Linked DNA regions of Ovis aries. The main gene of each other region encodes a partner of the protein of the gene in region 3 in a complex. Links are inferred from orthologs where the notes say so. Each region holds a gene or a part of one and is shown on either strand. Other genes may lie near its edges.

What was found.
Region 1: the proteins of BAK1 (region 3) and BNIP5 are in contact, whole or in part, in a crystal structure (PDB 8IGC), measured with the Homo sapiens proteins. The link is inferred for Ovis aries from reciprocal best matches to the Homo sapiens genes BAK1 and BNIP5. Residues at the interface, in NP_001179.1 of Homo sapiens: Leu78, Ile81, Gly82, Ile85, Tyr89, Glu92, Phe93, Met96, His99, Leu100, Tyr110, Lys113, Ile114, Ser117, Leu118, Ser121, Asn124, Trp125, Gly126, Arg127, Val129, Ala130, Phe134, Ala180, Leu183; in NP_001010903.3 of Homo sapiens: Ile246, Ile247, Gln248, Met249, Ile250, Val251, Leu253, Leu254, Lys255, Arg256, Val257, Gly258, Asp259, Gln260, Trp261, Glu262, Glu264, Gln265, Ser266.
Region 2: the proteins of BAK1 (region 3) and PXT1 are in contact, whole or in part, in a crystal structure (PDB 8GSV), measured with the Homo sapiens proteins. The link is inferred for Ovis aries from reciprocal best matches to the Homo sapiens genes BAK1 and PXT1. Residues at the interface, in NP_001179.1 of Homo sapiens: Ile81, Gly82, Asp84, Ile85, Asn86, Arg88, Tyr89, Glu92, Phe93, Met96, Leu97, His99, Leu100, Tyr110, Lys113, Ile114, Ser117, Leu118, Glu120, Ser121, Asn124, Trp125, Gly126, Arg127, Val129, Ala130, Phe134, Asn182; in NP_694535.2 of Homo sapiens: Ile78, Ile79, His80, Lys81, Leu82, Ala83, Met84, Gln85, Leu86, Arg87, His88, Ile89, Gly90, Asp91, Asn92, Ile93, Asp94, Arg96, Met97.

The regions. Positions count from the first base shown.
Region 1 is NC_056073.1:10,352,655-10,362,328, forward strand, and holds the end of BNIP5 (protein BNIP5), read right to left. Parts: coding exon 9,663-9,674; intron 8,855-9,662; coding exon 8,723-8,854; intron 7,921-8,722; coding exon 7,856-7,920; intron 6,269-7,855; coding exon 6,026-6,268; intron 4,424-6,025; coding exon 4,388-4,423; 3' UTR 1,857-4,387; downstream 1-1,856.
Region 2 is NC_056073.1:10,454,379-10,465,578, reverse strand, and holds the start of PXT1 (peroxisomal testis-specific protein 1), read left to right. Parts: upstream 1-5,707; coding exon 5,708-5,879; intron 5,880-11,200.
Region 3 is NC_056073.1:7,859,236-7,870,211, reverse strand, and holds the start of BAK1 (bcl-2 homologous antagonist/killer), read left to right. Parts: upstream 1-4,804; 5' UTR 4,805-4,975; intron 4,976-6,011; exon of another isoform or gene 6,012-6,587; intron 6,588-6,855; 5' UTR 6,856-6,865; coding exon 6,866-6,935; intron 6,936-7,819; coding exon 7,820-7,955; intron 7,956-8,264; coding exon 8,265-8,408; intron 8,409-9,470; coding exon 9,471-9,651; intron 9,652-9,770; coding exon 9,771-9,875; 3' UTR 9,876-10,976. Other genes in the region: gametogenetin-binding protein 1-like, read right to left, coding at 511-650, 1,610-1,766, 1,889-1,983, 2,266-2,378, 3,216-3,664. UniProt on the Homo sapiens protein: Plays a role in the mitochondrial apoptotic process. Upon arrival of cell death signals, promotes mitochondrial outer membrane (MOM) permeabilization by oligomerizing to form pores within the MOM.

The DNA.
Region 1 (9,674 bases), about 2.5 Mb from region 3:
TGCAAGTAACTGTGTGCCCAGAGGCCCTGGGACACGTGAGCCAGGGAGGGAGGGTTCCAATCTTGCACAACTCAGGAATGCTTATTCCCTAGTGTGAAAAGGAGAACTGAATATAATATTAACTATTGCTCTAACTCAAAGCCTGTATTTGAGCCCAGATGCTCTAAGGTAGTTAGAGAATTGTTCTTGCCTGAATTCCAGGGTGGCTAGAGAAAAAAAAAAAAAAAAGATACAGGACTCCTTGTTAAATTTTAATTTCAGATAAACAATGAGTAATTACCTCGTGTAAGGGTATCCCCAGCATTGCAATTATTTGTTGTCTATCTGAGGTTCAGATTTAACTGGGCCACCCATATTTTTCTTTGCTAATTTTGGCAGCCTTAATAGTTCCTCTCTCCTTTTTATGCCTTGGAAAAAGAAAAAACAGCCACAGGAATGGGTTGTGTTTTGAAATCAGAAGGTGTCACTGGTGCCAAGGCCAGAACACTTACTAGTTTTCCAAACAAGCGTATCTTAGTGACGCCCATAGCGCAGTACCTCCTGCAGCCCAGCTAACACCCAAACTCAGCCAGTTCTCTGCTGACCCCCTTACCCCATTATCTCTGGGTTTGTTTTTTTGTGGAGTTGGTTTTTTCTTGTTTTTTTTTTTTTTTTTCTTGCCACCCAGATTGCACAGGATCTTAGTTCCCTGACCAGAGATTGAACCTGCGCCCTTGGCAGTGAAGTTGGAGTCCTAACCACTGCACGACCAGAGAATTCCCACCTGTATCTCTGACCCACCCAGTTAGCCTCCTGACTTGTCAGGACACTAAGAGGTTAGGTCATTACGTCCTGTTGTCACTTGCCCACCTTTCAAAAGCCTTTCAAAGCAGCAGGGTCTCCCTTGCGCCTCAGTGCTCTTGAGGCCTCCAAGGTGAGTGGAGGGAACCCCACTCTCACACCATGTCCCACAGTCCTGTATTCCTCTTGGCGCAAGACTGGCACCGCAGCCAGTGAGGGCTGTGAGTGTCCCGAGAGCAGGGGTCGTGTCTTGCCTCTGTGGATTCCGCAGAGCTGGCACTAGACTGGACACAAAGATAAATGTTGGCTGCGGGAGGGCAGGCGCTGCAGTGGCTCTCAGAGCAGCGTCCTTGGCGGCTCTGTGAGCAGCTGGCTGTGTGGCCTGGAGCACTCCCAGCCCCAGCGTCCTTGTCCGTGAGACAACGATAGTGCGGCTGTCTCCTGCCCTTCTCAGAGCATTAAGGCCCACCTTCAAGAGCTGGGGAAAGGAGGCTTAACTTTTGAAAGAAGACCAGCTATGCATACACGTTCCCTTTCCTCAGGTTGCCGCTGGAAGAACTCACGTGTTATCTGAGACAGGGGAAAGGAGGCTTTAGATGACTTTCAATGGAGACCACATTTTCTGGACCAAAAACCAGGCGCTGTATTCTGTCCATTTTTTTCCTGGTTTGAGTGACCGAGTTTGGGTACCAGAGTTTAGGAATCAACAGGGCAGATGAAGCAGCGTTAGGACTGGCCCAGACTTCCCTGGACATACAGCTCCCTGCCACCGGAAGAATCGCAGTTGTAGAATGGCAGGTCTGGAAGGCAAGTATCTTGTCTCCAAGGTCATCGGCCTGAAGGCAGCTGGATTAAAATCCAGGTCACCCGATGCTCAAGACAGGGCACTTTTTTTTTTCCCCACTGCCTCAGCAAGTTGGTACCACAAGGATGAGACACCTGAATAGCATCTGGACAGGGCTCCCAGGCAGGAAAAAGGAGGCAGACCCCCACAACCTTGCAGGCTCTGGACTAGCCTAGACGTGGCAAGTGGCTCCATCTTGCCTCCGTGGTGAATAATCCAATGCAAGTCAGACTTCTGTGCAAATCACTTTCTTTATTTGCTCAAATAACACAGTACAAAAATGAGACTCAGATGCCAGCATCAAAAACTCATACCAAATACATAACTTAAAGAACATCATTCCAAATAAGAAACTCTGTACAGAAGGTGCCTGACCCTCTTCTCAAAACTGATTCCGATCTTTCACATTTTAGTGCTGTGTTCCTGAACACTGCCTAAAATGAATCCATAAAATAAATAAACCTCCTCCACTTCTTGGGAGCAGCAATAACACTAAATGACTTTCAGAATCTAAAACTTTGCCTCAAGTTTGAGGCCAGTCCCTGCTAAGTGCCCAAGTCTCCCCCTCCTCAGCTCTACCCTATGGGGCTCATCACAACAGCAAGACAGTGTCCACCAAGGATAACAAGGATGGGTTGGCCATCCAGGTTTTAACACCCTCTCCCCGATGGCCACGTGCTCTAGGCAGTGTTAGAGGGCTGCGTTCATAGCCCTGTCAGGCATTCATGCAGATAAGAGACATGTGTTGGAACTGTTGTGCTGTGTAGAAGACAAAACTTTGCCTTGGTGCAAAAACAAAAAGCCCATTTCTCAAGATACTTTTCTGCCATCAGCTGGAAAATCATCATCATAAGTCTATAAATCCACAATGTCTCAGAAGTCAATGTCTCCTGCAGTTTGGTCTATTGAGCAGTGCACACTCATTCAACCATCCCTGGCAATCTAGCTTGAAGCCCTCCCCCATTTCCTGAAAACTACCCAGACTGTAGCTATCATAAGAATAGCAACTTATATAGACACAGCACTATGTAATTTCAGAACTCTTTGTGTTGATTTTCTTAGTGACTTTTGGCAAATCCCCATGATTGAACCCCATTCAATTTCCAAATTTACTTTTAGATATCATTGCATGGATTATTTGGATTTCCCAAGTGGCTCAGTGGTAAAGAATTTGCCTGCCAAGGGAGGAGACGCAAGTTTGATCTCTGGGTCAGGAAGATCCCCTGGAGGAGGAAACGGTAACCCACTCCAGTGTTCTTGCCTGGAGAAACCCATGGACAGAGGAGCCTGGCAGGCTACAGTCCACGGGGTCGCAAAGAGTCAGACATGACTTAGCGACTAAATAAGCAAAACATGAGATGGCAGAGCTGAAAGGCATCAGCTTCATTTCTCAGCTGTAGAATTACAGGACAGAGGGCTGAGAGGATCCTAAGAGAGACCAGCTGTCCCCACCCTGCTGCGGCCCCATCTAGAGGTTGCAGGGTTCCCGGGAGGTTCTACAGATCCATGTGGGCACTAAGTACTGTCGGCAAGCCGAATAGATTGTGTGAGACCTGTAGCTGCACATCTGTTACGTGCATGTGGATGTTCAGGTCAGAGATTAAGCATAGATGTATTTTTAAAACTAAAGTCAGTCAAAGTTGTTCAGTCATGTCTGACTCTTTGCAACCCCACGGACTATCCAGTCCCTGGAATTCTCCAGGCCAGAACACTGGAGTGTGGAGCCTTTCCCTTCTCCAGGGGATCTTCCCAACCCAGGGACTGAACCCAGGTCTTCCGCATTGCCAGCGGGTTCTTTACCAACTGAGTCACAAGGAAAGCCCGTGAATACTGGAGTGGGTAGCCTATTCCTACTCCAGGGGATCTTCCTAACCCAGAAATTGAACTGGGGTCTCCCACATTGCAGGCGGATTCTTTACCAGCTGAGCTATCAGGGAAGCAAGAGACTTATTTAAAAAACTAACATCTGAAAAAAGGTATCAGCAGCTCTTCTACATGGCATGGGCATATTTTTAGCCCTGGTGAACCAAGAAAACGCACGATAAACAAGCAAACAAGGGCACATGAGTCAGTACTAGGCCCTAAGGTTGGCCCCAGAATGCAGAGGCCTTTATTCCTGGTCCAAGGCTCTAGACCAACGCCTACTGAGGTAACTCCCCCATTTCCTCTCTACCTACCAATTCAGAGGAGAACCGTTGGTCTCACAATTCCAGTTGAGGACCAAGGCCTCCCAGAGAATGTCTGGCAGAATTGCCTGAATCTCAGGCGTTCCATTCATTCATTCATTTGGTCAGTACTTAAAGATTGCCTCCAGCTATGTGGGGTGGGTATATTTAGCCACAGAGTGAAAGCACTTGCTATCTCTCTTTAGAGATATTTTAGCATAATGCAACCAGAAAGGGTCTGATGGGTCACTAATCCAGCCCAGAATCCAAGGTCTGGAGAGAAGGGACGTGGGACTCGTACAGGGTTTTGCAGCAAGTTTGGAGGTAGGTCAGCAGGTGGAGTCCTGGTCTCCTAATTCCCAGTCCAGTGCATTTTCCCCCATGGCCTTTGCCTCCAGTTTTGTAGACGAACACCGTGTTCATTCTCTGTCTCAATGAGCCCACGATGGTGCATGGACACAGAATGGCTGTCCACTCTCGTCCTCAGTCATGTCTGTGAAGCACTGAACTGGGAAAACGTGGAGCATTTTCAGGGTTTCCTGGCTGAAGCTACCAATGTTTGCATAGTTCAAGGGAACTTGAGTGCAAAGCACAGCTTTCAATCTGGACTCTGGATCTGAAAACTTGTGATGCTCTGGGAGGAGAAAAAGAACACAGATTTTAGTCATAGTCCAATTACATATGGGTCCCACCCGGATAACAACAGCCTTCTCATTAACCCACTAGCTCCCACCTCTGGGTCTTTGCTCATAGAGGACCTCCTGCCTGCAGTGTCCTCTTGGTCTTTTCTCCCCATCGACAGCCTCTCCATCCTCAAAGGTCAAAATCAATGTCTGCTACCTCCTGGAAGGCTCCCAGAACCAACTTGCTTTATTGGCCACAGTTAGTGCTAATTTGGCATTTAATTGATATTTACTTTTATTATCAGTAAACAGTCTGTCTTTTTCCATTAGAACCTTTCACAGGCCCTCAGAGCATCTTACACAGCTAGGCTAATAGGAGGCTCTCAATATGTACTGATTGGATGGATGCGTGAATAAATGAATGGCTAGCAAAACCAGAAGATACAGTGTTAGGGCTACTGAGGATGTCAGAACTGATGTCTCTAAAATATCTTCCACAAAGAACTCAGATCACTCCATCCAGTGTTACCTAATCCACCTTGCTGCTGCTACTGCTGCTAAGTCAATCCACCTTAGAGGGCAAATTGTCCCTAGTCTCCAGAAGACAGTGAGTTTGAGAAAAGAGAGGTCGAAGGTCATAAGGGCTTCCCACCAGGAAAGCCACTGAAATGATGAGGTACAAGTATCATGAAATAGAGCCTGCTTTCTTGAGAGACTTATCACATGGCTTCTAAAGTTAATTCCAGGGGGAGACAAAGAGTTTGAGTAAGAGTGATATCATCGCAATAAAGGTCTGGTTCCCCAGGGAACCATTTGGATCTGGAAGTTCTGGTCCTATTTGTCCAACAGCAATAGAACGTTTCATTGCTTTAAAATCACAATCCACTCAGTAGTTTCTGCACTTTAGATGTGGTTGAATGTTTGTAAGCTGGTCATCTTAAGTGAATCTGAAAAGGGAGGGGAGAACTTAGAGTCCACCAGAAAATTCAGATTTGAAACAAGATCAGTAATAAGTTTTCTCTCTACAGGGACCATCCCAGAGTCTCAGGGAAGGGAGGATTATTAGGGAAAGCCTGAAACCAATCAAAAGAGTGAGCGATGGCAGAAGAGAAGCTATTCATAATCAGTCAAGGCAAGGTCCTTGAAGAATGTCCTCTGAGAAGCCTTTCAGAACCCAACAGCCCCAGGGAGCCTTCTCAACTACCTCACCATCCCTTATTTGATATGTAATCTTACTGTACTTTTTTCTTTAAATTTTATGATCGTCTCAATTGGCAAGCCAAGCAGCACAACCCATGAAACAGCAAGAGGGTGAAGCTAAGATAGGAGCCGGTCAGGTATTCCATACATCAAGAAGTATGAAAATACCCCTCCTGTTGGAGACCAGAGCCAAATAAAAGAGGATGCTAATTAGCTTACTAGCAGGTAAGGCGGGGAGGCTGGGAAAGATGAAGACCGCTGTGGTGTAGCATTGTCTCAGAAGGCCTGGACAAGGAGGTGGCATTTGAGCTGGACCCCAGAAGTCCTGAACTAAGCAGGGGAGGGGAGAGGACACGAAGCAGGTCCTTGTGATCTGAGTCCGTCCCCCCTCGTGCCACGGGGCCGGTTCTCACCTGCTGGGCCTCCTCGTTCGGGAACTGGCTGTAACTGGGGCTCCTGTAGTGTAGGCCTGTGAGACTGAGGGCGGTTTGGTAATTGTTGCCAGGACCCTGGTTTCCCAAGCCAAAGACAAATGGGTAGGTTCTCTTGGGCTCAGTGGTGTGGGCCTCTTGGTTGCGCAGCGTGGCTACCAGCTTTCTGAGGGAAGAGGCTGAGGGCTCGTAGAAAAATTTCTTAAAGCTGGGGTGTCGCTTGATCTGGAGGCAGAAATGAAGGCAGGCCATCAGTGTGGCTTGCAGGTAGGTACTCTCCTCCCCACAGCACCCCTCCTCCATCAACCCCACGCAGTCAGGCTGGGCGCCTCCCTGTCCCTGGGACAGAACGCCTTGTTAAATTCCTCCACCTTCCCTGGCCTCTCAGAATCTGCTCTGCAAGGTACAGCTCCAAGCAGCACAACAAAGTGGGAAAAAAAAACAAAAGACAAAATGCAGGTCTTTGGATTCAGATAATGGATGCTTAAACAGCACTCACTAGCTGTGTGACCTCTCTGAGCCTCTGTCACATGTAAAATGGGGGTAATAATACCTTCCTCCAGCACACTATTGTTGGGGGGAGGGGGTTAATGAGATAGTTTAATGTTTTGTGAAAAGTGGATGTTGGGTGAATTTCAGTTCCTGCCCTAAGCCTCCTCCTCCTAATACCTAAATGTCTTAGGTTGGGTTCCCCCAGAAGCAGATCCAAAGACTAGGACTCAAATGCAGCTCACTTCTGTGGTGAGTGATCCGGGCAGACATGGATGGGGGAGTGGAGACAGTGGGGCAAGAATGGGAAGCAGCCCCCTCAGGCTGGCAGCTGAGCCTGATCCCCTTGGGGCAATTTGGAAGCCTCAGAGTTATCCCCCCAAGGGGGGAGGGAGCTGGAGTATGTCAGCCGATGATTGAGGGCTGCTCCTGGCAAGATGGAGAGTGTCACGCTGGCCTATTGTGTGGGTGTAAACGGCTCTGGAGAGGCCAGTCTTCAGGCAAAAGGATGCAAGTGCTGGCAGTCGGGAGCTGGGCCAGGTGATCTGTGGTGCCAGAGGAGGTACCAATAGCACTGGCTACAGGCTCAGCTGTGAAGAATCTGCCTGCAATGCTGGAGACCACCTACAATACCGGAGCCCACCTACAATGCTGGTTTGATCTCTGGGTCGGGAAGATCCCCTGAAGGAGGGCATGGCAACCCACTCCAGTACTCTTGCTGGGATAATCCCATAGACAGAGGAGCCTGGTGGGCTGCAGTCCACCGGTTCACAAAAGTCAGACATGATTCAGTGACTAAACCAGCACCACCACACTGATCACTCATCTATGACCTGCCTCTTTGTATGTGATCTGTGTTTGTCTCTCCAAGTAGACTGTGAGGTTTTCAAAGGCGAGGAACCTTATGTTACAAGCTATCTAGCAATAGAGGGAACTCTAAAAGCTTGAAAGAATTAGAGGCCTTATAATTGCTGAAGCGTGTGCCAAGACAGAGTAAAGGGCAGATAGAGGACGAGATCAGAGCGACTTGGGGAAGGAGGCTTCCTTGAGCTGAACTTCAAGGATGATTTGGACAGGGGGAAGTCCTGGTTGGCAAGTGGAGACACAGAGCTTTACGTTATTTTAAATTAACATTGATCTCCTATGCTATGTGTCCGGCATTTTCTATATAAGCACTAAAGTTGGCAAGTAGGTATTTATCCCCCATTTTGGAAAAGAGAAAACAGAGGCCCACGGAAGTTATGGGGCAGGCCACGGTCACCCAGATGCAAAGATGGGGCCTGAACTTGGGTTCAGTCCTTGGGGGTACTGAGCACTCCTCACCTGCTTTCCCAACTGGCCATCCACTTCTTGGAGAAGGGCCACCAGCTCTTGGATGATCAGCTCCTCTAAGAAAAATAAAGAAGGATTGAGGGACTGTTGACAAGTTCTGCAATAACCCATCCATCAATCCCAGAAGTATTTTGCCTCTAAAACACAGCACACAGATTAGTTATGAAGAACCAAGGAAAATCTTCCCCTAAACTAGAGCTGGAGCATGAGGGTTTTGTTTCGTTTTGCTTTATAGACAAAGAAGGCACTTGGACCTGCCGAGCCTCACCTGCCGCCACATTCAGCTCCGTTTTGACAGATGGGGAAACTGAGACCTTATTAGGCTGCAGAATAGCCTGCACCATCAGCCTGGGTTGTAAACAATGGTGTGCAGGTGGCGGCTCTTACCAAGACTTAATTATGAATATTCAGAATATTTGGAGACCCGTTTGTTATACACTGTTGGCAACTTGAAATCAGCCAAGGTGGGAATTTTATACCTCAGAAATCTGCAAAGGCTACCTTCCCCTGGACCCCGTGCCCCTGGTGTACTGGAGCTTCTTTGCAGTAGGCCAATGGTTATGAGATCCAGAGCAAGCTAGGAGTTTTACAGGAAACATTCATGCAAAGCAGTGGCACGCGGTGGGGTGAAAGTACATCCCACAGAGCGGACAGGCATTCTCCACCTGAAGAAGGTTGTCCGCCTGCAACTCTGCCCCAGTTCAAAGGTCAACCCTGTGTCCTCTCTGCCCTTCTAGAGTCTCCTGGGATATTTGTAAAGCTGCCTTCCCAGTTCCCTACTAGGGTTCAGCCTGTGAAAGCCCTGCAAAGGGGAAGCCCCGGGGCAGCTGTCCCAGGAGAGAGCAGGGTGACACTAACTGGATTCATTTGCTCCATCCGGCTGAGGTCCCACTTCTGGCTTGTGGCTTCTGGCCTGGAAGGGTGCTTCTGGGGCTCCAACTGGCTCCCCTTCTGTGGGTGGGGACCCCTGGAATTCGAGATCCTCCGGATCTGAGGGCAAAGAGGAGTTGGTGTGAATGTGTTTGCACCTGTCTCAAATCCACCAGCAGGTCACTGAACCCAGGTTCTGACAAGAAGCTGTCCAAAGACTCTGGCTTAAGACGGGTCCTGGTTTCCCAGGCTCCTCAGGGAACCCCCAGCCCCACTGGACCTGCCTCAGAGGAGTTCACAGTGCTCTTTGTCCCTCCAGGCATCGCATTCTCTCTTCCACCTACCCCCTTGCCTCCTTATATCTGGGAGGAAAGCAAGCAGGCCTGCCAACAAGTCTCAGCAAGTGAGCCCCCTTCCCCTTTAACTTGGCAAGCCTTTGCTGAGTCCCTTAGTCTGTCTGAATCTCACTTTCTCCATCTGTCAGCTGGGAGAGTTGTGAGGGGGATTAAATGAGATAATATGTGTGAACGCAGCATGCAGCGGGCACTCTGCCAATGTTGGGGGGATTGTTGTACCCCAGTGGTCCTCACACCTTAGTGCAGTGAAGAAACAGAGGCCCAGGACATGTCCTGCTTCATCAAACCTGAGTCTCTCTTTTTCTATCACCTTTCCAGGTGATTCTGATTTATGTATGGCGATGCTGTCATACTATGTTTTCAGGGGTTTATGATGGGTGGGGGAGAGTGTGGGGGGTGAATCCTGGCATCAACCAACTCCTTTCTCCTCTTGAGCCCCCATACCGCCCTACTCTGCTCAGCGTGAAAGTCAAGACTGAATGGTACACCACACATCAGGCCAACCCTGCCCTGGAGGAAGCCACGGGGCCAGAGGCAGCCTCTGTTGCCATGGCAACCCCGGGTCTGCTCACCAGAGTTGCTGG
Region 2 (11,200 bases), about 2.6 Mb from region 3:
ACCCTTTATTTTCTGCTAGAGATAAGAATGTGGCTGTGATGGTCTTTATGAGAATAAGAAGAGTTCTAGTGTCTCCTTTTCAAATTCAGACTCGGCTCCTCTCTTTTCATTAAGATGTCTCACTCCCACTCTAATCTATGCCTGGTGTCCCCATATTAGAACTCCTTTGGTTTACTTATTCCAGAGGTGACATTTCTTGTTTCACATGATGGTAAAAGTAGTAGTCTGATTATATCAGGTGAAGTCAGGACCTGGGGATCTGATCACTTTCTTAAACATATTTTCAAACAAAGCTCTCTTTCCAGGGCTACAGTCCTTCCATCTCCACTCCTCTAACTTCCTTCTGTGTTTTACCTGCTTCCAATTCTGGAGTCTTTGCAGGGTTCCTCCTGGTGAGGTACCTTGTTTCTCCGTGGTTTCTCCTTCACCACTGAGATTTGACCTTTCTTGGGTCTTCTAAGTCCTTTGCCACCCTCCAACCATTTTCCATTTTCATGTGCTATAGTTTAGGGTGATTATCAACTCTAAATAAAGATGAAATTTGAGGGTGGTTTTTTTTTTTTTTTTTGCTCTCATTATTTTTGAGAGAAGTGGTATGGGAAAGGTCTCACTACCTTGAATTGAAAACTCTTCACTTCTTATTTTTAGTTCTTCAAATGCCTTGAATACGTTACCGCTGCTGGTCTTTTACATCTGGTGTTCTAGCTGTCTGAGGTATTCTTTTTCTCCCCCTCATCTTCCCTCCTGGCCAATTCCAAGTCATCTTTTAGGTCCCAGTTAAACATCATTCATAGATGAATCCTTCCTGGCCATCCAGACTAGGTTAAGTACACTCCCTATGGTAGATTTACATAACACCTGCCATGACTCTAAAGTACATGCCTAACTCCTCTGCTAACCTCCACAAGGGAAGGGACTATTTCTGTCTTGTTGGCTGCTAGTGTCTGGTGTAATGCTTAGCATTCAGTAGGGGATCGGTATGTTTTTCTTACTGTTGATAACATATATTGCTCATTATAAAGATTTGTAGCTTAATTTACAGTTGCTGCTACCAATAAGTAGTTATTTTTAATTCAACAATCCTCATTATTATAATAGTCCAGCTATTAATATGAAAACACCATAATATGGACTCTTGTGTTTATTGTACAATGAACATTCTTTAAATTATCATGTGGGCTTCCCTGGTAGGTCAGATGGTAAAGAATCTGCCTGCAGTGTGGGATACCTGGGTTCAGCCCCTGGGTTGGAAAGATTCTCTGGAGAAGGGAATGGTGACCCACTCCAGTATTTTTTTGCCTGAAGAATCCCACGGACAGAGGAGCCTGGGGAGCTACATTCCATGGGATCGAAAAGAGTCAGACACAACTGAGTGACTAACACACGCAAATTGTGTGCTGGCAGTAACATAATATGCCCTCAAATCAGCGTACTGTATAGGTTTTCTATTCCTACTGTTTCAAATGACCACAGATTGGATGGCCTAAAACAACACAAATTTATTATTTCATGGTTTTGGAGGTAGAAAACCTAAAATGGGTTGTCAAGGCTGCATTCCTTCTGGCGGCTCTAGGAGGGAATCAGTTTCCTCGCCTTTTTCAGCTTCTAGAGGCTGCCTGCACTCCTTCGCATATCACTCTGACCTCTGCGTCCACTGTTACATCTCCTTCTCTGACTCTCTCGCCTCCCTCTTATAAAGACCCATACGATTAGTTCAGGTTCACATAACCCAGAATAATTTCTGCTTTTCAATAGCTTTAACCACATCTGCAAAGTCCATTTTGCTGTATAAAGGAAAACGTTCACTGGTTCTGGGAAGACGTGGACATCTTTGGGGGGACCATTTATTCAGCCTACCACACAGAGACAACAAAATATGAACCCACAGATGAATTAGTTGCTGCAGGAAATGATAAAAAACTTGACTCACATACATTTAAAACATTAAATTAGAACAACCTCCAAAGTAGATAAATAAATGAAAAATATCATTACTACGCCTTAAAATAATAAGATACCTAATGTAAACCAATGATTATTAAGTAGACAACATATATCAGCTCAATAATTACTTAGACTTCCATATACCTCCCATGACTATGCTTTTCAGAATCTTCGGATTTCCTCAAGTTTTCAGGTAGTCACAGCATTTTGTAAAGGCAATTATACTAACAACTATGTTAGTATAGTTGTTACTAACAAGAGTTTAGTGTTTTTCTTAGATATATTTAAAAATAAATTTTAGATGAAAAATGTAGCTGGTGCTTTGTAGTCACCAGTTCTGCATCCTTGGAGCTCAGTTGTAAAGAATCTGCTGCAATGAAGGAGACCTGGGTTTAATTCTTGGGTCAGGAAGATTTCCTGGAGAAGGAAATGACAACCCACTCCAGTATGCTTGCCTGGAGAATCCCATGGACAGAGGAGCCTGGCAGACTACAGTCCATGGGGTCATAAGAGTCAGACACGACTTAGGAACTAAACCACTTCCACCACCAGATAGAAAATATTCAGAAAAGAAAATTCCAGAAAGTTTCAAAAAGAAAAAACTTGGAATTTGTTGTGGGCCAGCAATTATTTACATAGCATTTACATTATATTTACAACTATATACATGGTATTTACACTGTATTAGGTATTATAAGTAGTCTAGAGATGCGGGCATAGCAACCCACTCCTATATTCTTGCCTGGAGAATTCCAGGGATAGGGGAGCCTTGTGGGCTACACTCCATGGTGTTGCAAAGAGTCGGACACAACTGAGCAACTAACACTTCATTTCAGAGATAATTTAAAGTATATGGGAGTGGAGAAGGCAATGGCATCCCACTCAAGTACTGTTGCCTGGAAAATCCCATGGACGGAGGAGCCTGGTATGCTGCAATCCATGGGGTCGCTAAGAGTCAGACACGACTTCACTTTCACTTTTCACTTTCATTTGAGAAGGAAATGGCAACCCACTCCAGTGTTCTTGCCTGGAGAATCCCAGGGACAGGGGAGCCTGATGGGCTGCTGTCTATGGGGTTGCACAGAGTCGGACATGACTGAAGCGACTTAGCAGCAGCAGCAGCAGCAAGTAGTAGAGAGTCTCATTTTGATACTAGACAGGCTATTGCCATCTATAAATAAAGGATAAAGGAAACACACCTAAAGAAGCAAAGTTTTACATAGCAAACATGCAGTGGATAAAGGGAAATCAGCAAATATAATCTAATGAGACTTTTGGAAAACTAGGTTCGATATAAAAGAGATGCTGAAATTACAGAACTAGGAAATATGAAACAAAAGCTTAGAGACAAGCAGATATTTCTAGATAAGAAAGTATAAAAGAGTGTCCTGATAGTGTAAAACACTCCTCTTAACAGGTTGTTACAAATTATTTTGAAGAATATGTAGTAAAACCTCCAGAACTACAGGTAAAACTAAAGATTCCTGAATTGTAAAATGTTAGGTTGATTAGATTAATTATAGATAACAATGGTAAGGCTGAATCAGTGGTAATACATGCTATATACACATTTCAGTATAAAATTCTGGAAAACATTCAAAATAAAAACATGATCCAAAAAAAAAAAATAAAGTATATGGGAGGATGTGCATAGGTTATATGCAAATACTATGCCATGTTATATAAGGTACTTGAATATCTGTGGATGTAATATCCAAAGGGGATCCTAGAATCAATCCTCCATGGATACCAAAAGATGGCTGTATAATTAGCACTGATTATGTTTCAATAAATATAACATCCTGCAGAATTACTTGGGAATAATTATAATAAAAACCTATTTGGGGAAAATGAAGTCTAATATGCTCAATTATTTACTTTAACAGGCCATAATTAGATACTTTATTCTCAATTATCTAGCAATGTCATGTGAACAACCAGTACAAAATGACAGTTTCACAATGAGCTGGTGGGTAACACTGTCAGCTGGCTCTTTCAGACAAGACTGTCACCCCAAAACTATATCTTGATTGTCAATTTTGCTCATTTAGCAATTTAATAATTATACCCAGGTTCTGATCTGGCTCTGAGGCATTAGCTGGAGAGGATGTCCTTTTCCCAATGGAAAGTTAACTTGAGAAATCAAATAAAGGTTAGAAGATTGCCTGATGAGAACAGTTAAAATGTCAGGCAGCCTAAGGCATCAAAAATGACCAGGCATACACTACACTTCATCCCACAGCTCCCACACCCCAAATCTGGCCCAAATTACAATAATCAAAATTTGTAATAGCATCCTACACTGGAAAATGTCATACATGATAATGATGAGATCAGAATTTTACCTGATGGCATTGTTGTATGGCAGAAACCAATACACCATTGTAAAGCAATTATCCTCTAATTTTAAAAAATGAGAATTTTACCTGATGATATCCCCCAACTTAGTTTTTCTAGCTGAGATTGCTGCTTACTGTCGGTCTCTCAAAGCCATTTCTTTTCAGTTCTTGCTTCTTCCTCTAAAGCTGCAATACAGCTTTATCATATTTATTGTCCAATACAGTAGCCACTGGCCAAATGTAGCTACTGAGCACCCAAAGTGTGGCTAATTTAAACTGAGATGCACTGTAAAATATATACCAGGTTTTGAAGACGTACACTAATGAGAATATAAAATATTTCATTAAGTTTTATATTGACTACCTGTGGAAATGATAACACTGAAATTTATTTAGGGATACATTTGGTTAAATAAAACATATCATTAAAATTCATTTTACCTATTCCCTTTCACTTTTTAATGTATCTACTAGAAAACTTAATGTTACATATGTCTTTCACATATTTTTATTGGACAGTACTGATGCAATGCTTCAGAAGGCCTCCTCTGCTACCTTTAGTTGTTTTTTTATGGTTTGACCTCTCAGTCATTCTTTGATTTTCTGTTAACTGCTTAGATTTAGAAGGTAAAATAGCAAGTCAAACTCTGTGGCCAACCTTTAAGATAAGATAAGTAAGTACACTGATAGACAATGAGAATCATCCATTCTTCAACTTACTGGATTGGTGCTTTCCTGCTGCTGCTGCTGCTAAGTCACTTCAGTCGTGTCCGACTCTGCGTGACCCCATAGACAGCAGCCCACCAGGCTCCCCCGTCCCTGAGATTTTCCAGGCAAGAGTACTGGAGTGGGGGTGCCATCGCCTTCTCCAATTGTGGTTTAATATTAGAAGAAAAGGGAGGAGTGTGCAAAGAATAGCCTTCATTGGCATCTGCAGAGATGGACTGTGTGTATATGGAGTATTAAAGAGGGAATGCAAGAGCCATTCTGGGGAGGAAATACACACACACACACACCCTGCAGTAGGAAGAAGAATATATTCCATCTCCAATCTTCCCCACTTGTCTAGGTTTTTTAAACCTATTTTTCTTTTGGCTATACTATTAATAATTTGTCTCTCTTCTATGTGTACTAATTTAAGACTGTTCCCTGGATGGAATGTAACTATTAAGATGATGAGAAAGTGCTGGGAGATGAGGATACAGGGTAATGTATCAGATCTAAAGACCAAACAACATAGATGTTTACTTCAGTTGAAAAAGAACTTACAGATCACCCTGTTCCATCTTCCTTCCAAATGCAAAATCTTTTTATATATGGAATAAAAGCTGTTTGTGTTAAAATATTAGTATTCATTTATCATACCAAATATATACTGAGAAATGGGAGAAATCCTCTGAAAATATTTTTAACAGGAAAAACACATGAAGAAGAAAAAACATGATGCCATTGTTTATGAACCTAAAGAACTTCTGAATCCCTCTCCCAGTGTAACAAATTGTTGCAAATCACTGTGGGTGAAATACAGTTTTCAGAATGTTTACATGACCCAACTTGTCAGCTCCCAGCCAGTTTCAGCCATGTCAAGGAACCCAGGTAAGATATTATTTGTATTAAACTAAGTTAAATATTCTATTTAGCTTGTATTTTTCCTGGTACTGAAGATATAAAATTGGGCACTGGAGTATTTAAACATTAAGAAGTAGTGTAAATCTATTCAAGGAAGTTCTTACATAGTAAAAATCTAAAACTGACTTTGCTTCATGGTATAAACCTCCTAGTTTCTTTTAGCTCTGAATCACTGATGTGACAACTAATTAAGATGATCCCAAATTCACTAAAATAGATCAAATTCATCTTTTAATAAAAAAATATACCTTTAAACTTGACCTGAAAATGTCTGCATTGTTGAGGTAGGGAAAATTCAGTGTAGGTTCCTTCTTGATATTGTCAATATAGGAAAGAACATGAGGGAAAGATAAACTTGAAATTTTGTTTTTCAAAAATGTATGATTCCTAAATGTCCCAAAATGTTGGAAAATTAAAGTGCTGTGTTTGAAAAAGCATTAAAGAATGTTAGAGTTAAATGCATGTGGTTTTAGACTTTTAGATTAAAAACATGCTAGACACCTGAAAGGATTTAAATTAATCTCAAACTATTTTCCACTTTAAAAGAAATACATGCCCCTAAGAAAGCGGAAATTTCAAGCATCCTAATGAGACCCTGGCCGCCACATCAAATATGATATCCATTTTCTAAAAAGAACTCAACTGACCAAAATTTTGAATTTTCATCTGGACAGGTGTCAACAATGATATCTCCAAACCCGAGACTGTGTCACCTATGATTACCTTATAGAACATACATTTCGCTTTTCTAAGTTGAGATGTAACTCGTACCATAAAGTTCACACTTCTAAAGCACACAGTTCAGAAGCTTTTAGTATATTCACAAAGCCGTGCACTATTCTAGAACTTGTCTTTTACTGCAAGACTTTTCCAATGTTTTCACACTCACTGTATTACTTAATCCTCACCGATCCTTATGAAACTGAGGTGCACTGTGGGCGGTTGCCACATTTACCCCAAAACCTTTCCTAATTAGTTTCACCTCAAAAAAAGCAGAAGGGTGAAGAATTACTAATGCTACTAAGTTACAGTGACAGCCAACAGCCTAATCTGCATATATATATATATATATATATTTTTTTTTTTTTTTGCATAGAGTCCTCATTTTACTACGTATGTAAAATCTTTGTGTCTGGCATTTTTGTCTGGTGCGCCGACAGTGCAAGCCTCGGCCGTCGGTTGCCGCCCAGTCAGAGGCGGTAGCGGCCAGAAGCCGCGCCCCACCCCCACTCCCATTTCCTTCCCTCACAGGCTCAGCGAGAAGCGTCGTGTTTCTCCTCTTTTACCGCTGAAGGAATGGGGACGCGCCGACTGAAGGGGGCAGTGTGAGGGACACTGAGTTGTTATGACGTCGAGAACGCTAAAGCCAGGGTCACTGGAGGGGCCTGGTGGTATACCCCGAATACCTAGTCTCCCTCCCCCTCAATCGGATTTGAAGCAGGTAGCGAACAAGTTCGCCTGGAAAATCCCATGGACGGAGGAGCCTGGTAGACTGCAGTCCATGGGGTCGCGAAGAGTCGGACATGACTGAGCGATTTCACTTTCACTTTCAAGCACTGGAGAAGGAAATGGCAACCCACTCCAGTGTTCTTGCCTGGAGGATCCCAGGGACGGGGGAGCCTGGTGGGCTGCCGTCTGTGGGGTCGCACAGAGTCGGACACCCCTGACACGACTTAGTAGTAGCAACGCACAAGGGGCGCCAGCCCCCGGCGCCGGAGACCCCCTCTGGGCACACCCCGCCGTGTGCACTTCCCATTGGTCACAGCCGCTCACGTGACCTCTACTGCCAGCCCCGCCCCAAGGGTTTTTCCGGCCGACAACGGGGTCTAGGCAGTGCGTCTGAGGAGAACCCTGAACGCGTAGTCGTCCAGGTGTGGTTGGTCCCGTGGAGGACCCTGGGAAGCTCTCCTGCTGGGCACCTGATTGGATGGATGGACGGATGACAAAGATAGATTAGATAGGTTAGATAAATTAGATAGAGCGAACTCTTAATGAGGAAGCTGATTGAGAAGATCCCTTTCTCCTCTTAGTGCTTTTGTCCCAGGCTGCAATACAGACTGAAAATGAAAATCACAAGCCATTGTTGGCTGGAAAGTGACCGGTTAAAGCCCAAACTTATCTGTTACTTTGGGGGTATTCTCTTGATGAAAGTGAAAAGGAGAGTGAAAAAGCTGGCTTAAAACTCAACATTCAGAAAACTAAGATCATGGCATCTGATCCCATTACTTCATGGCAGATAGATAGGGAAACAATGGAAACAGTGACAGACTATTTTCTTGGGCTCCAAAATCACTGCGTATGGTGACTGCAGCTATGAAAGTAAAAGACGCTTGCTCCTTGGAAGAAAAGCTATGACTAACCTAGACAGCATATCAAAAAGCAGAGATGTTATTTTGCTGACAAAAGTCTGTCTAGTCAAAGCTACGGTATGGATGTGAGAGTTGGACTATAAAGAAAGCTGAGCACCGAAGATTTGATGCTTTTGAACTGTGGTGTTGGAGAAGATTCTTGAGAGTCCCTTGGATTGCAAGGAGATCAAACCAGTCAATCCTAAAGGAAATCAGTCCTGAATAGTCATTGGGAGGACTGATGCTGCAACTCCAATACTTTGGCCACCTGATGCGAAGAACTGACTCCTTGGAAAACACCCTGATTCTGGGAAAGATTGAAGGCAGGAGGAGAAGGGGACGAGAGAGGATGCGATGGTTGGATGGCATCACTGACTGGATGGACATGAGTTTGGGCAAGCTCCAGGAGTTGGTGATGGACAGGGAAGCCTGGCCATGCTGCAGTCCATAGGCTCACAAAGAACTAGACACTACTGAGCAACTGAACTGAACACTAGCCATATGAACATATCTGTTTGGTGCTGGGGGAGGAGGAACCCGTAGTATTTGTATGGAGAATGTGTGTGTGTGCACACGCATACACCTGTGCTCAGTCGTGTCCAACTCTTTGTGACCCCGACTATAGTCCACCATGCTCCTCTGTCCATGGGGTTTTTCCAGGCAATAATACTGGAATAGGTAGGTTGCCATTTCTTCCTTTAGGGGATCTTCCCAGCCCAGGGATCGAACCTGCATCTCTTGGGTCTCCTGCATTGTCAGGATTCTTTATCAGTAGCACCACCTGGGAAGCCCATGTACAGCTAAAAGACACTTAGAAAAGTTGAGGAGGTGCATAGGATTTGGAGAAGTCCAGAGCAACCGTCCTGATACATCGTTTAAGATAAATTAGACACTCTTGGGAAAACAAAAATGATTAAAAGTGGAAAGAGGCCCTGCCCACTTCTAAAAATGTAAAAAGTATTGATAGGAAAAGTGTGTGCGCTCAGTCATGTCCGACTCTTTGTGACCTGTGGACTACAGCTGGCCGGGTTTCTCTGTCCATAGGATTTTCCAGGCAAGAATACTGGAGTGGGTTGCCATTTCCTTCTCTATTGATAGGAAAGGGCAGACATATATACACACACATAGAAAAATTTCCTGGCATCCAACAGGACTCTGCACTTCCCAATGCAAGAAGCCCGGGTTCAATCTCTGGTCGGAGAACTGAGATCTCACAAGGTGTGGGGTGTGGCCGAAAAAGAGTCTGTCAGCAATGAAAGAGACCCAGGTTCAACCCCTGGGTCAGGAAGATTCTCCAGAGAAGGGAATGGCAACCCACTTCAGTATTCTTGCCTGGAGAATACCATGGACAGAAGAGCCCGGTGATCTAAAGTCCATGGGGTCACAAAGAGTTGGACACAACTGAGCAACTAACACAGAGACACTCATAGATATATAGGTAGTGTAAATGGGATATATTAATTGTAGAAGTCAGAAGAGCGTCCAGTTTTCAGCTTTTCTGCTTCTGAGAGTGCTTGTATTGCAGAAAGGGGTGCCCCCAGGGTCCCCCTTCCGGCAACACTCGGGTGTTCATTTTCTATATATATATATCTTTTACTCTCTAGTTGTGGTGCATGGGCTTCCGGTCGCAGTGCCTGCTTCTTGTTGCCAAGCATGGGCTCCAGGGCACAAGGGCTCAGTAGTTGTGGTGCATGGGCTTAGTTGCTCCATGGCATGTCGGATCTTAGTTCCCAGACCAGGGGTCAACCCTGGACCCCTGCACTGGCGGACAGATTCTTAACCACTGGACCACCAGGAAAGTCCCTTGGATGCTCATTTATGCTTTTTTATTTTTTTGGTGCTCTTAAGGCTCACCATCTCTCTCTTTCCTCCTCTAGATGGACACATTGACTTTTTAAATTCATTTTAAAAAATACTAGGGCCAACTGTACTTTAGGCACTGCAATACATACTTGGGTGACAATAATAAACAAAAACAGCAACAGCCCCTTCCTTCCTGGCACAGATGGTCAGGTAAAGAAGGCAGACAGCAGTCAATCACATATACCAATGTTAAATGTAATATGATAGGGTGCTAAGAGGTCCAGATGCTATAATGGGGCTTTGGCCTAGGAGGGAGGTTAGAGAAGGCTTCCCTGGAGACGTAACTCTGGACTGAGACCTGAGGGGGTTAAGGAGGGTGCAAGTTGCAGGCAGAGGGAATGGCTTGGGCAAGGGAGAGCTAGTAGCCTTTCCCCTTCGATGACTGCTCATCTCACCCATTTCCACTAAACATACACTGATCTTGCCTCTAAGTTCTCAGAAAATACTCTTTTAATTCTAAGTTCTTAGGGAGTAATGGTGACCCATAATTACTGACATAGACAATGTGTATCCAATAGGTAAGTATGCTGATACACACATCTCATATGCAGTATCATCTCTGTTATTTTGGGCTTCTCAGATGGCGCTAGTGGTAAAGAACACACCTGCCAATGTAGGAGACTCAAGAGATGTGGGTTTGATCCCTGGGTCAGGAAGATCCCCTGGAGGAGGAAATGGCAACCCACTCCAGTATCCACAACTGGAAAATCCCATGGACAGAGGAGCCCAGCAGGTTACAGTCCATGGGGTCAAAAAGAGTTGGACATGACTGAGCACACACGCATTTGCCACGCTGCAAGTGTTTCACCAGTAATTGTTCAGATATGCACGAAATACAAATAGTTGTTATGCTGAGTTCCAGAATACAAAACACACTTCTTGCTTTGAGCACAATCTTCTGTTGTGTTCTATCTCTAGGTCCTTCCTTCTCTGCCCCTTTGTCTACCCAGCTGAAATACCCAAGGCTTGTTAGCATTCTTATAGCTCCATTTCTCCCAGCGTCCATTACTGGAACTTACCCAACTTGTATTCCATCTTCATACTGAAGATACTAGATTTTGTACTTCCCAGATGACA
Region 3 (10,976 bases):
GGAAATCGACACATTTTTGTCATCAACAGGTCTATCAGTGTGCACTCCCAGAAGCCTGGACAGGCCTAACCTTTAAGGCCAATGTCAAAGAGGGTGGGCTGGGGGTGGTCCCCATTGTTACCCCTGGCAACTCCCCTGCCACCTGTGTGTGTTTGTGGGAGGAGGTGTGGATGTGAATGGGAGACAGACTCCCTCCTCTTGGAGATGAGGAAACTGAGTCCCAGGGAGGGGGAGGGACTTGCCTGGAACCACACAGCAAGTGCGCGGCAGTGACGCCTTAGCAACGGGCCCTGGGCTAAGTGAGAGCCAGCCAGATGGAGAAGCGTGTGCTTAGGAGGTTGGGGTCCTGCTCTCGGAGAGACCACCATGGAGGAGGACTTGCGCCCTTCCTGCCCAGCAGGGTGCAGGGGTGGCTGGGGCCTGGGCCCGCAGCCTACAGAGAGGGGAGTTCTCCAGCCCCAGACTCCTGGTGCCCGCAGGCAGAGCGGGGTGGTGGGTGGGTGGGTGTACCTGGCCATCCACAACACCCGCCTCCTCCAGGGTGATCTCTGGCTGGGTCAGCAGCTCCCGGCCATCGTAGCCGCCTATCTTCCAGAGGCGGGACTCCCGCTGAACGACCAGAAGCTTCTTTAGCTCCACCTCCACAAAACCTGAGAGCCAGAGAGAGAAGGGCATGGGACAGGCAGGAGGGGGCAGCTGCAGCCTGCTGGGGATCTGAGGAAGATGAAGTGGCCCCAGCTCCCCAAACCCCACCCTGCCCTGCATGGCCCCTGGTCACCCCCAGTCGGGCCCCTAGAGCCTGCCAGACTCCACCTCTCCACCGCCCAGCCTGTTCCAGGACTCTCACTGGGCTCCCTGCTCCCACCCTGAGTGTGAATCTCTTTACCTGCCTCTCAGGGGACAGTGTTCATTCCAGGGGCAGACATCTGCTCCACCCTGCCCTGCCTCCTCCAGCCATCAACTCCAGCGTTCCAATCCGGAGTAACACAAACCACGGGGGTTCAAGCCCCAGCTCTGCCACTGACCAGTGAGGTGATCGTGGACAAATTACTTAACCCCTCTGGGCCCCAGTGATCTCACAGGGAAGCGGAGACAGTATAACAGGACTGACCCCAGAGTCAGAATGCAGTATTTCATGAAAAGTGCTTAGGAGAGGGTTTGGCCCGTGGTAAGGAAAATGTCAACGGAGACTTTACTGGAGGCTGTCATTCATTACCACTAAGCTGTCTGCTCGCCCCACCAGTGTAGTGAGGTGGCTGCAATGGGAGAGGGGGTCCCCTGGGCACCGTCACAGCAAGTGCACATCTGACAGGAACACTGGGGGTGCAGGGGGCGCCACTGAAGGAGTTAGAGTTCTGGGCTGGGAAAGGGTGCTGCTCGAGGAGCCACGGTCCCGGTCGTAAGCCGCCCCCCACGCCTCAAGCCTCCCCCGCCTCCCCGGCGCACACCCAGCTCCTTCTGCGGACCGGCGCCCGCGGGTCAGCCGGCCGGGGCGATCATTTTAGGTCCTGTGGTTCCCCCTGGTGGTCTTAACTGGTGTCGCATCCGAGAGCGGCTCCATCAAAGCGGGGCTGGGGGCGGGGTGGGGGGGTACGGGCGGCACACCCACCTGCTGTGTCCGTTGACCTGAAGGCCTTATGCAGCGGGGACTGGAGGGTGACGATGCCCGGGACGCAGAGCTTGAGGGCGCTGTCTTCCTCCGCTGCCGCCTCCTCTTCCTCGCCTGGCTCTTCTCGGGGCAGGCCTTCCTTGAGAGGGAACTGAGGCTGGACAGCCACCCCACAGGTGAGGGGGCAGCTGAGCCCGGCCCCCGAGCAGAAAGCAGGAGCGGGTGAGAGGGGCGCGCTCTCCCGCACCCCGCCCCGCCTCCGGCCGGGGCCCCACGGACCTTGGCCATGGCCCCTTTCTGGAGCCGCTTGTATAAGCCGAGGAGGCGGTTCCAGGGAGCTGCCCCCACCTTGGAGGAGGCCAGTCTTGGGTCACCTGTGGAGGGCAGTGGTCACTGGGAGCCCACAGCCAAAGGTGGAGAGATCGTCTCACTTAATCCTTGCTAATGCCCTCTGACAGAGATGCTATCATGCTCCCGTTCTACAGATGATGAAACTGAGATGCACGAAGGCTGAGTGACTTGCCGCCCTCACACCGCCTGCCCCGAGTGGAGCTGGGATCCAGCTCCACTCAGACTGCCCTTCGTCCCCTGCCCCCCCACCCACCCCTGGCCCGATGCCCTGGCTGTCCCCTGGGGCCTGTGGCCACCGCACTCACCATCGACCAGACATTCCTCTTCCCTTGTGAAGGCCTCGGGGCTGAACTCCAGTGGCCCCACGGCCCTCCGCGCGCATCCTGGCTCCACCGCCGAGGCCTGGGCAGAGTGGCCCCTGACCCCAGAGCACAGTCAGATGGGGGCGGCAGGTGGGGCCCGAGAGGTGGTGAAGGTCCCAAACCCCTGCCGAGGCTCTGCTCAGCTCCTCCACCCCCCTGCTCCCCATTGCTCCCTGCTCTGCCCTCTGGGGTCTGCATCACAGAGGGGGATGATCCCCCCAAAAGTAGGGTGAGGGCCGTGAGGAGGGGAGGGGCCCAGCAAGGAGCTGGGAAGTGATGGGAGGCCCAGCTCACCCCACACGCACCCTTCCTAGTCCCTGGCCTGTGCCCTTGGCCTTTTGGTGCCCCTATGCACTACCCCTCACTTGAGGAGGAGCCCTGTCTCTGCCTCCCTCTGCCTCTCCAGGTTCCTCTCCACCCTTGATGTGAACGACCATGCCCACCCAGTCCTCTGCCCACCCGAGGAGTCCGTTCCTGATAGTGAAATTCGCTCAGTTGTGTCCGACTCTACAACCCCATGGACTTTACAGTCTATGGAATTCTCCAGGCCAGCATACCGGAGTGGGTAGCCGTTCCCTTCTCCAGGGGATCTTCCCAACACAGGGATCTAACCCAGGTCTCCCACACTGCAGGTGGATTCTTTACCGGCTGAGCCACAAGGGAAGCCCAAGAAGACTGGAGTGGGTAGCCTATCCCTTCTCCAGCGGATATTTCCGGACCCAGGAATCAGACTGGGGTCTCCTGCCTTGCAGGTGGGTTCTTTAGCAGCTGAGCTACCAGGGAAGCCCCTGGTCCCTCCCCAGTTTCGGGTCCTCAAAGCTCAGGCCCACGTCCCCCTCCCTCCTGACACCCTGGCTTCCCCCAGCTCCTCCATCCTCGGCCCAGCCCCTCACCTTTCTGAGGTCCCCGTATTCCCTGAGGCCTCCCCTGTGGCCGCCTCTTCCCTCTCCTCCAGCTCAGACAAGTGGCCCAGCACCTCCTGGCTTCCTCTGGGCAGGACTGGCTTCACCTCTACGCCCTGAGCCATGACCTCCGCGGGGGGGCAGGTCTGGGCCCCCGGGTCCCCCATCTCCAGCCCCGAGGGGCTGGGCCGCGGCAGGGCCCCAGGGCGGGCGAAGGGCAGCGTGGCGGGAGGCCTGGACTCCCTCCTCCCAGCTTGTCCCTGACGGTCGGGCATCACGGGGACGGCGTCCTGCCCCCCCAGGGGCCACGACCAGCCCCTCCGCAAGGCCTGGCCTGAGCTCTCCCGGCCGCACTTGCTGCCTACCAAGCTCCAGGAAAAGCAGAACATGGGGGAGCGGCCCAAAATTCGGGGCCGAGGGCTTGAAGCAGCGGCCTCCATCCCGAGAGGGTCCCTGACTCAGAGGGAGGGGCCGCAGCAGCCACCGCAGGACCAACTGCTTAAGAACAGAAGGAGGTTTTCAAATTGAAAACCTCCAGTTGGAAACTTCCAGGAGTTCTAGAAGGCAGAAGGGGGGGAGGGGGGATTTGCTGGGTGCAGAGAGGGCAGGGGTTTGACAAGGCCTAGGGAGCCAGCTGGGGTGGGAGGGCTTGAGGGTTTGGGGAGGCCCCAGGAGACAGTGGGGGGGCAGGCAGAGGAGTCCAGAGGAACCCCAGCTCTGAGGATGGGGTGGTGGCCCAGGGCTCTCTCCTCGCTGCCTGTCCTTCCCCTGCAGCCGCTTCTGTCCTTGGGAAGCACTCATTCCCCAGCAGCTGCCCTCCCCCTTCCCTCCCTTCTCAGCATCCAGCTGGCACGGGCCCACTGTGCCCCCCTTTCTGCGTACCTGCCCGGCAGATTCAGGGGGACGTCACATTTCCTCTGTGGAAACCACCAAGGTAGGTGCCTGGTGTGCACGCTGAATCTCAGTTTAGTCTTATTCCTGGAGACCTGATTATAAACCCATCTCAGTGACCTTGGGAGAGGCTCCTTAAACCAGCCGAGTCTCAGTCTGATCCCCTGAAAGATGGGTGTGACCCACTGCACCAGCTTCCCAGGGTTGTTCCAAAGTGCGCTTAGTTTTAAATGTTTTTTATTTATCTGCACTGTGTCTGAGCTGCAGCAAGCGAACTCTTAGTCGCTACGTGTGGGCTCTAGTTCCCTGACCAGGGATCGAACCCAGACCTCCCTGTGTTGGGAGGACAGAGTCTTAGCCACTGGACCACCAAGGAAGTCCATCCAAAGGGCTTTTAAAGTGCCTGGCACAGAGTGGGGCTCAAGGAACCGCCCCATCCTGGCTGTTTTGCTGGCACTGATGGAAGGGAGCAGGGGACAGATCAAGAATTAGGGCTGGGAACCAGGGTGGGGGAAAAGCCGTGGGGGAGGAGGAGGGAAGCCACTTTCTCTTGCAGAGCCCAGACCCGCCTCAGGCCACGGGCTGCGGCTTCGCATCCGGCGGCCACCGAGCGACTTCCTCTAGAGGGAGCTGATGGGAGCCGGGAGCCGCCGGCGCCTCTATGATCGCCGCAGCCCCGTGGGTCCCCCAGAGCCGCCCTGGGACCGGCAGAGGCTGCACTCCAGACATCAGGGATCCACTGACTCCCCTTCCTGGAAGCCAGGCGTGGGGACACAACCCTGGGAACAGCCCCTGACCCCTCAGGATCTCTGGCCTCCGCCCCGCTGGGCCATCTCGGGCCTGGGCCAGGGTCCGGGGAGGTAAGCCGGGAGAGTCTTGCCCATGCCCCCCTCCCTGGGCAGCCCCAGGCCCAGGGTGAGGCAGGGAGCCCCTGGGGAGCCCGCTGGGGAGGGGGACGCCACTGCGAAGCTTGCCTGGGCGGCTCCACCAACCCTCGACGGTGGGCCGATCCAGATCCAGCCAGGGCTCCCTTGGGCTGCCCCTGAGGCGGCGTCCCCTCTTGCCCTGGCCCTGGCTACCCGAGAATCGCGTGCCAAAGAGCCAGGTCCTTTAGCAGTCTGGGGGATGGGAGTGGAGGTCAGAGTCAAGGTCAAGGGCAGCAGGAGACCGTTCACAGTGCTTCCTGCTGCCCCAGGAGTCCTAAGACCAGGTCAGGATCTGCCCCCTCCCCCCCCCCAACTCCAGCAGCATCCTGGGCCTGGCAAACCCAAAAGGTGGGCACAGCGGACTCTCCCCACCAGGAAGTCAGGCCACTTGGATGGGGGCAGAGGAAGTCCCAGGTCAGCTCAGGCCTCTGGCTCTGGGGCGGGTTCCAAGGCTCCACCTCATCCCCAGCCGTGAGCCCCAGGGGTAGTGGGAGAGGGAGTCGAGGTGCAGTTAGCATCCTTCAGCCCTGATGTCCTGGGGGGCACCGCGTTTGGGTACCAAGGGAGGGAGAAAGGCGCCTTGTTTGGGAAGCAGCTTCTAGGATGCCGGGTGCCAGGCTAAGGTCTGTCTTAAGCAGGCGGGGGACCGCGGGCTGCAGGAGGGGCGAGTCCCTTCTCCCTGTCCCTGCCCCCTCGACAGGGAAGGGGTGGGGCGCACAGGTGGGCCCTCCCCACCCTTCTCCTGAGGCCCTTTGGAAAATGGCCCCAGGCCTGGGAGAGGTGGGGTATACAGGCCCTCCCAGGAAGGAGGCGGAACACAGGCCCTCCGGGCGTGTGTTGGGGCCCAGGCTGGGCCCTCCCGAGGGGGAGGAGAGGGGCTTCCGCCTGGGTGATGGAGGCAGCTTTGGGGTGCGGGGAAATGAGGAGGGTGCAAACTGAAAGTGAAACAGCTTACGTCCAGGAAATACTCACTCTGCCCAGGGCTCACTGAGCTGCCGGGGGTTGTGGCCAGAACCCAGCAAAGGAAGAAAACGGGCCGGAGACAGGAGGGCGAGGGGGGCACGTGGTTTCCTCAGCCGCCTGCTAGGCAGGTGGGGCAAGGGCAGAGGCCGCCGCCGGCAACCGGGAAGCAAGCCTGACAGGAGCGCTGAGGAGAGCACGGACGCGTGTGGAAATTCAGTCACCCTGATGGCTTGACCAGCCCTGTGGCCTGGAGCGTTCCCTGAGCCTCAGTTTTCCCACCTGTGCAGTGGGCATGATGGTGCCTGCCCTGCCATGCTACCCCCGCGTCCCACACCTCCTCCCGCATGTGTGAGGAGGACACCACAGGCGCTCGGGATGTGTGTGGCTAACAGGCCCGAGGTGGAAAACAGGTGTGCTCTGACTAGCTGGGGGGAAGTGGGGCCTTCGGGGACGGCCTTCACGGGTCACTGGTTGGAAGGTAGCGAGTCTGTGGTGGATGTGGACCGGATAGGGTGCAGAGGGCCCCAGCGGCAGCAGAAGGAAACTCCGCCTCTGAAACTCACCTCCCCGGCCCAGGAACGGGGTAAGACGTGACTAGACAGCCGCTTGGGCACCACTGTGGCCTCCCCACCCCAGGGCCTGCGCTGGTCCCCGGCGGGGGCAGTCTTGGCTGCCTGGCCTTTCTCAGTCCCAGTCTTTCTTGAAGAGCCGCTAGTGAAGTGATAAGTTCCTGGGTCAGTGGGTCTTTCGGGAGGGGGCCCTCCCCGCCTCCATGGGCCGCCAGAGCCCCTGGCCCCATCTCTGCTTTCCCATCTGCCCCCAACACAATCTGAAGCTGCTTTTCTCCCCAGGACCTGAGGAATGGCTTCGGGACAAGGTCCAGGTCCCCCTGGGCAGGGCTGCGATGAGCCTGAACCCTCCTCCGCATCGGGTAAGGGTCTGTCTGCCCCCTCACCCACCTCATGACCACCGGGGCCAGCTGGGGGGTTGGCGAGAGCAGACCTGGACAGCCCCAGGGGCCCGCCTTAGTTTACCCGCCTTGCGCAAAGGAGAGAGCACCTCCCCACCCAGTGCTGGCAGCCCACCGGCTCAGCAGCTGGGGTGCAGGCAAGACCGAGCCCCAAGAGCAGCGCGGGGAAGGACACGTGGAGGCCGAGGGAGGGGGCGGTGAGCCTGCGGAGGACACCCTGCCCTCCCCGGGCAGCCGGGCGGGATGGGTGAGCAGGAGGGAAGGCATTGGGCGCGGCTGTCTTATCCCAGGCTGGAGAAATAAGGAAGTGAGGCAGCTTATCACCCGATCAGGGCTGCTCAACTGGGAGACGGGCTGTTAGACTCTGGGGAGGAAGGAAGAGAGTGCCCTCATCCAAGGGGACCACCCGGAAGGCTGGCAGCTCTGCCACCCAGCACAGGCTGCTTCCTGGACTTTGGGTTCCGTCTCAGGCCACTCACCATGTCCCAATGTGACTTTCCTGGGCTGCAATTTCAAACTCTGTTTCCCACGTTCCCTAAGCCAAGCCGTACGGCCGGGTGCCTTGGACACGAAAAGCCAGAGAGCCAGGCGCCCGGGAATCTGTCCTGGCCACGCTGTTCACTCCAGCCGCGTGACCTTGCGCAGGTTACGCAAACACCGTGCCTCAGTTTCCCCATCTGTAAGCGGGGTGGTCGCCTCCACGAGGCTGCTGTGAGAAGACAGCTCTACTCAGAGTCAGCCCTAGGTGTCACCCGAGGGCTAGAGGAGGGACAGGTGTGTCCCCCAGCAGAGGGAACCCTCCTCCCCAGAGCACTTCCTCCCTGACTCCCGGCTTTGGTCCCCAGAGGAGCAGGTAGCCCGGGATACCGAGGAGGTCTTCCGCAGCTACGTCTTTTACCGCCATCAGCAGGAGCAGGAGGCCGAGGGGGCGGCTGCGCCTACTGACCCAGAGATGGTCACCTTGCACCCAGAGCCTACCAGGTGAGCTGCGGCCTCCTAGACGTGCTGAGAGAAGCAGAGACTCATGCAGGGTCACCGTGCTGGCCCTGGCAGCTGAGCAAGCCTGGGGGCTTCTTCCGCTGCTGCCCTTTTGCATTTGGGTCACCGCTCCCATCCCAGAACCAGCACCCTTTTCAGCACAGCCTGCCCCTTGTGCCCGGGCCCAGCCCTCTTGTCTGAGCACACAGTCAGGACTTCCCAGGAGCGGCGCCTGAGGCCAGGGCATCTCGGGCAGGAGCGCTTTGCTGCCAGCCCGAGCCCCAACTCACTGGCCGCCTCCTGATCCTCCAGCACCATGGGGCAGGTGGGCCGCCAGCTCGCCGTCATCGGGGATGACATCAACCGGCGCTACGACACAGAGTTCCAGGCCATGCTGCAGCACCTGCAGCCGACGGCAGACAACGCCTACGAGTACTTCACCAAGATCGCGTCCAGGTAGCCCCGGCCACCGCCCCTCCATGGCGCTGTCCCCACCGCGCCAGGCCCTCCCCGTGAAACGGGAGACAGCTTCTCTGCTGGTGTTGGGAGATGTGTTTTCTGTCCCTGCCTCTGCTGTTAACTCACGTGTGGCCTTGGGCCCCTGTCTTTCTCTTCTTAAGCCCAGGCTCCTCATCTTTGTACACAAGGGCACAGCCTTCATGACCCCTGACACCAACATGAGCTGATAGATCAGGACTGTGTGGGGGGCAGGGGGCTCGCAGTGGGGTTGTTCCCAGACATCCCAAGCACTGCTGGGACACAGCTGTCATTCTGATTTGGAGCTACATTTCACACCAAAGATGATTGTTGGACCTGGCTTCAGCCTACCAGGTCCTGAAAATGACTTCCTGATGCTGAGATCTGGCCTCAAGAGACCAGCAGCCTGGGCGAATCCTAGCTTCGCCATTTACTGGCTTCGTGACACATCCTAGCGTTTAGTTTCCTGGTCCATAAACTAGGGGAAATATGCTTAGGATTGCATGCACTCTTAAAGGTGTCAGCCGTTGTCACCATCTGGATTAAGGGAGTCAGTCTCGAGGTAGATTTGAGGCTGAGGGTGAAGGCAGGAGCAGGAGATGGAATCAGTGCTCAGAGCTGAACACCCTGCCTGTGTCCTTAGAGGCCACTGCCCACTCCGCTGTGATTCCAAGACTGTCCTAACCTCCTCTTCTGTCCTTTTCTCTCTGCCGTCCCGGGCTGCCAGGCCAGCAGCAGCGCCCACAGGTAATCTCCCCGCTGCCTCCACCCGCCTGCTCTGCCCTCCACGCTCTGCCTTTGTGTCCCAACAGCAGCGCCCCACTCATCTGCCCTCCAAGCTTTCTCCTTTCACAGGGACGCGGGCTCTTCCCAGATCAAGGCCAGGCTGGGGCAGCCTCTGCCCCACCAGTTCACAGCTAAGCCATTTCTGCTTTCCAGCAGGGAAGGGCTAGGGGTGGGGCAGTCCAAAGGGATGGGAGGGGGAAGGAAGTCAAAGAGCCCCCCAGGGGTCTCCAGCAACGGTGTCTCCCCTGCCTGCAGCCTGTTTGAGAGCGGCATCAACTGGGGCCGCGTGGTGGCTCTGCTGGGCTTCGGCTACCGCCTGGCCCTCCACGTCTACCAGCGCGGCCTGACCGGCTTCCTGGGCCAGGTGACCCGCTTCGTGGCCGACTTCGTGCTGCGTCGCTCCATCGCCCGGTGGATCGCACAGAGGGGTGGCTGGGTGAGTGCCTGAGCATCCGTCAACCCTTCCTGCCACTGGAGCCGCCCCTCCCAGCCCCACCCCAGGCCCTGGGAGCCACCAGCACCCTCCGCCCATGACCCTTCCGTCTCTCCCGGCAGGTGGCAGCCCTGGACTTGGGGAACGCCCCCATCAAGAACGTAGCCATAGTTCTGGCTGTGGTTTTGTTGGGCCAGTTTGTGGTACGAAGATTCTTCAAGTCATGACTCCTGGAGGGGCCCTTTGGGGTCCTGAGACCCCTGTGTGGACTTTGGCCCCGGCTTTTCCCCTCACCTCCTCTCCAGCAGGGGTGTCCCTCTGCCCCCCCATTAAGAGCACAGAAGCTTTAGTAAGTGGGCACTCCAGCTTTGGAGGGCCCCTGCCCAGGGGCATCCATCAGACTGTTGGGTACTCTAACATTGCATGGTGCTAACGGCCCCCTCTCAGAGGGGGGCGGTGGCCTCTCCCTTAGCTCTCTGGGACCCCCTCAGCCCTGTCTGCTCGGTGCTGGGGAGACTGATAACTTGGGGAAGCAAGAGGCTGGGAATCACTTCTCCCAAGTCGCCGTTAACGATTTTAGCTTTTTATAATACCCTTAGGAGGGCACTCCTCCTTCCCACCACTCTGCCCAAAGCCAGGACGTCTGGGCTGTGGGGGTTAGTAGCTCTACCCTTCCCCAGAATTCAGCAGTTCTGGGAGGTTGAGCTTGAAAGCTGGGCCTGGAGCCCAGTCCTGGCCCTTCCTAAGCACCACATTCCCCGGGAACAGGACTGGGGTGGTGGGGCGGGGGACAAGGTGCTGCTCGGCTCCCGCCCAGTCCCTGCTACCCTCTTCCCCACCTCCGGCCGGCCCATATTGACTTTGCAGGTGGACTCTCAGGGATTCAGGGTGGGGTGGAGTGGGGTGCAGGCCAGAGCTCCTGAGGGCCTCTGTCCCCCCACGTTACCACTTGCTCCCACTCGTCACTACAAGCGCAGCTCGCCACACACCCCCACTCCAGGTAAGGAAGGGAGGGGTCTTGGCTGAGCACACTGCCCCGGCCCCTACCTCACCTGGACTACAGGGTTTAGGACTGCGGCTTGTCATTGTCAGGGAAAGGAGGGGTAGGGAGCGCATCTTGAAGTTTCTGAGTGAGAGAAGGGCTAGAAACACCACTAGGAACCCCAAGGTTGGGGCCCTCCCTTCTGGCCTGGGCACAGTGTAATCTGGGGGTATGCACAGGGGAACTGAGAATACTTGAACCCCACCCCCAACCTCTACCCTCTGAACCCCATACGTGCCTGAGCCCCTCCTGATGGTGGGGTCAAGTGCCTTGTCTATCTTGCACA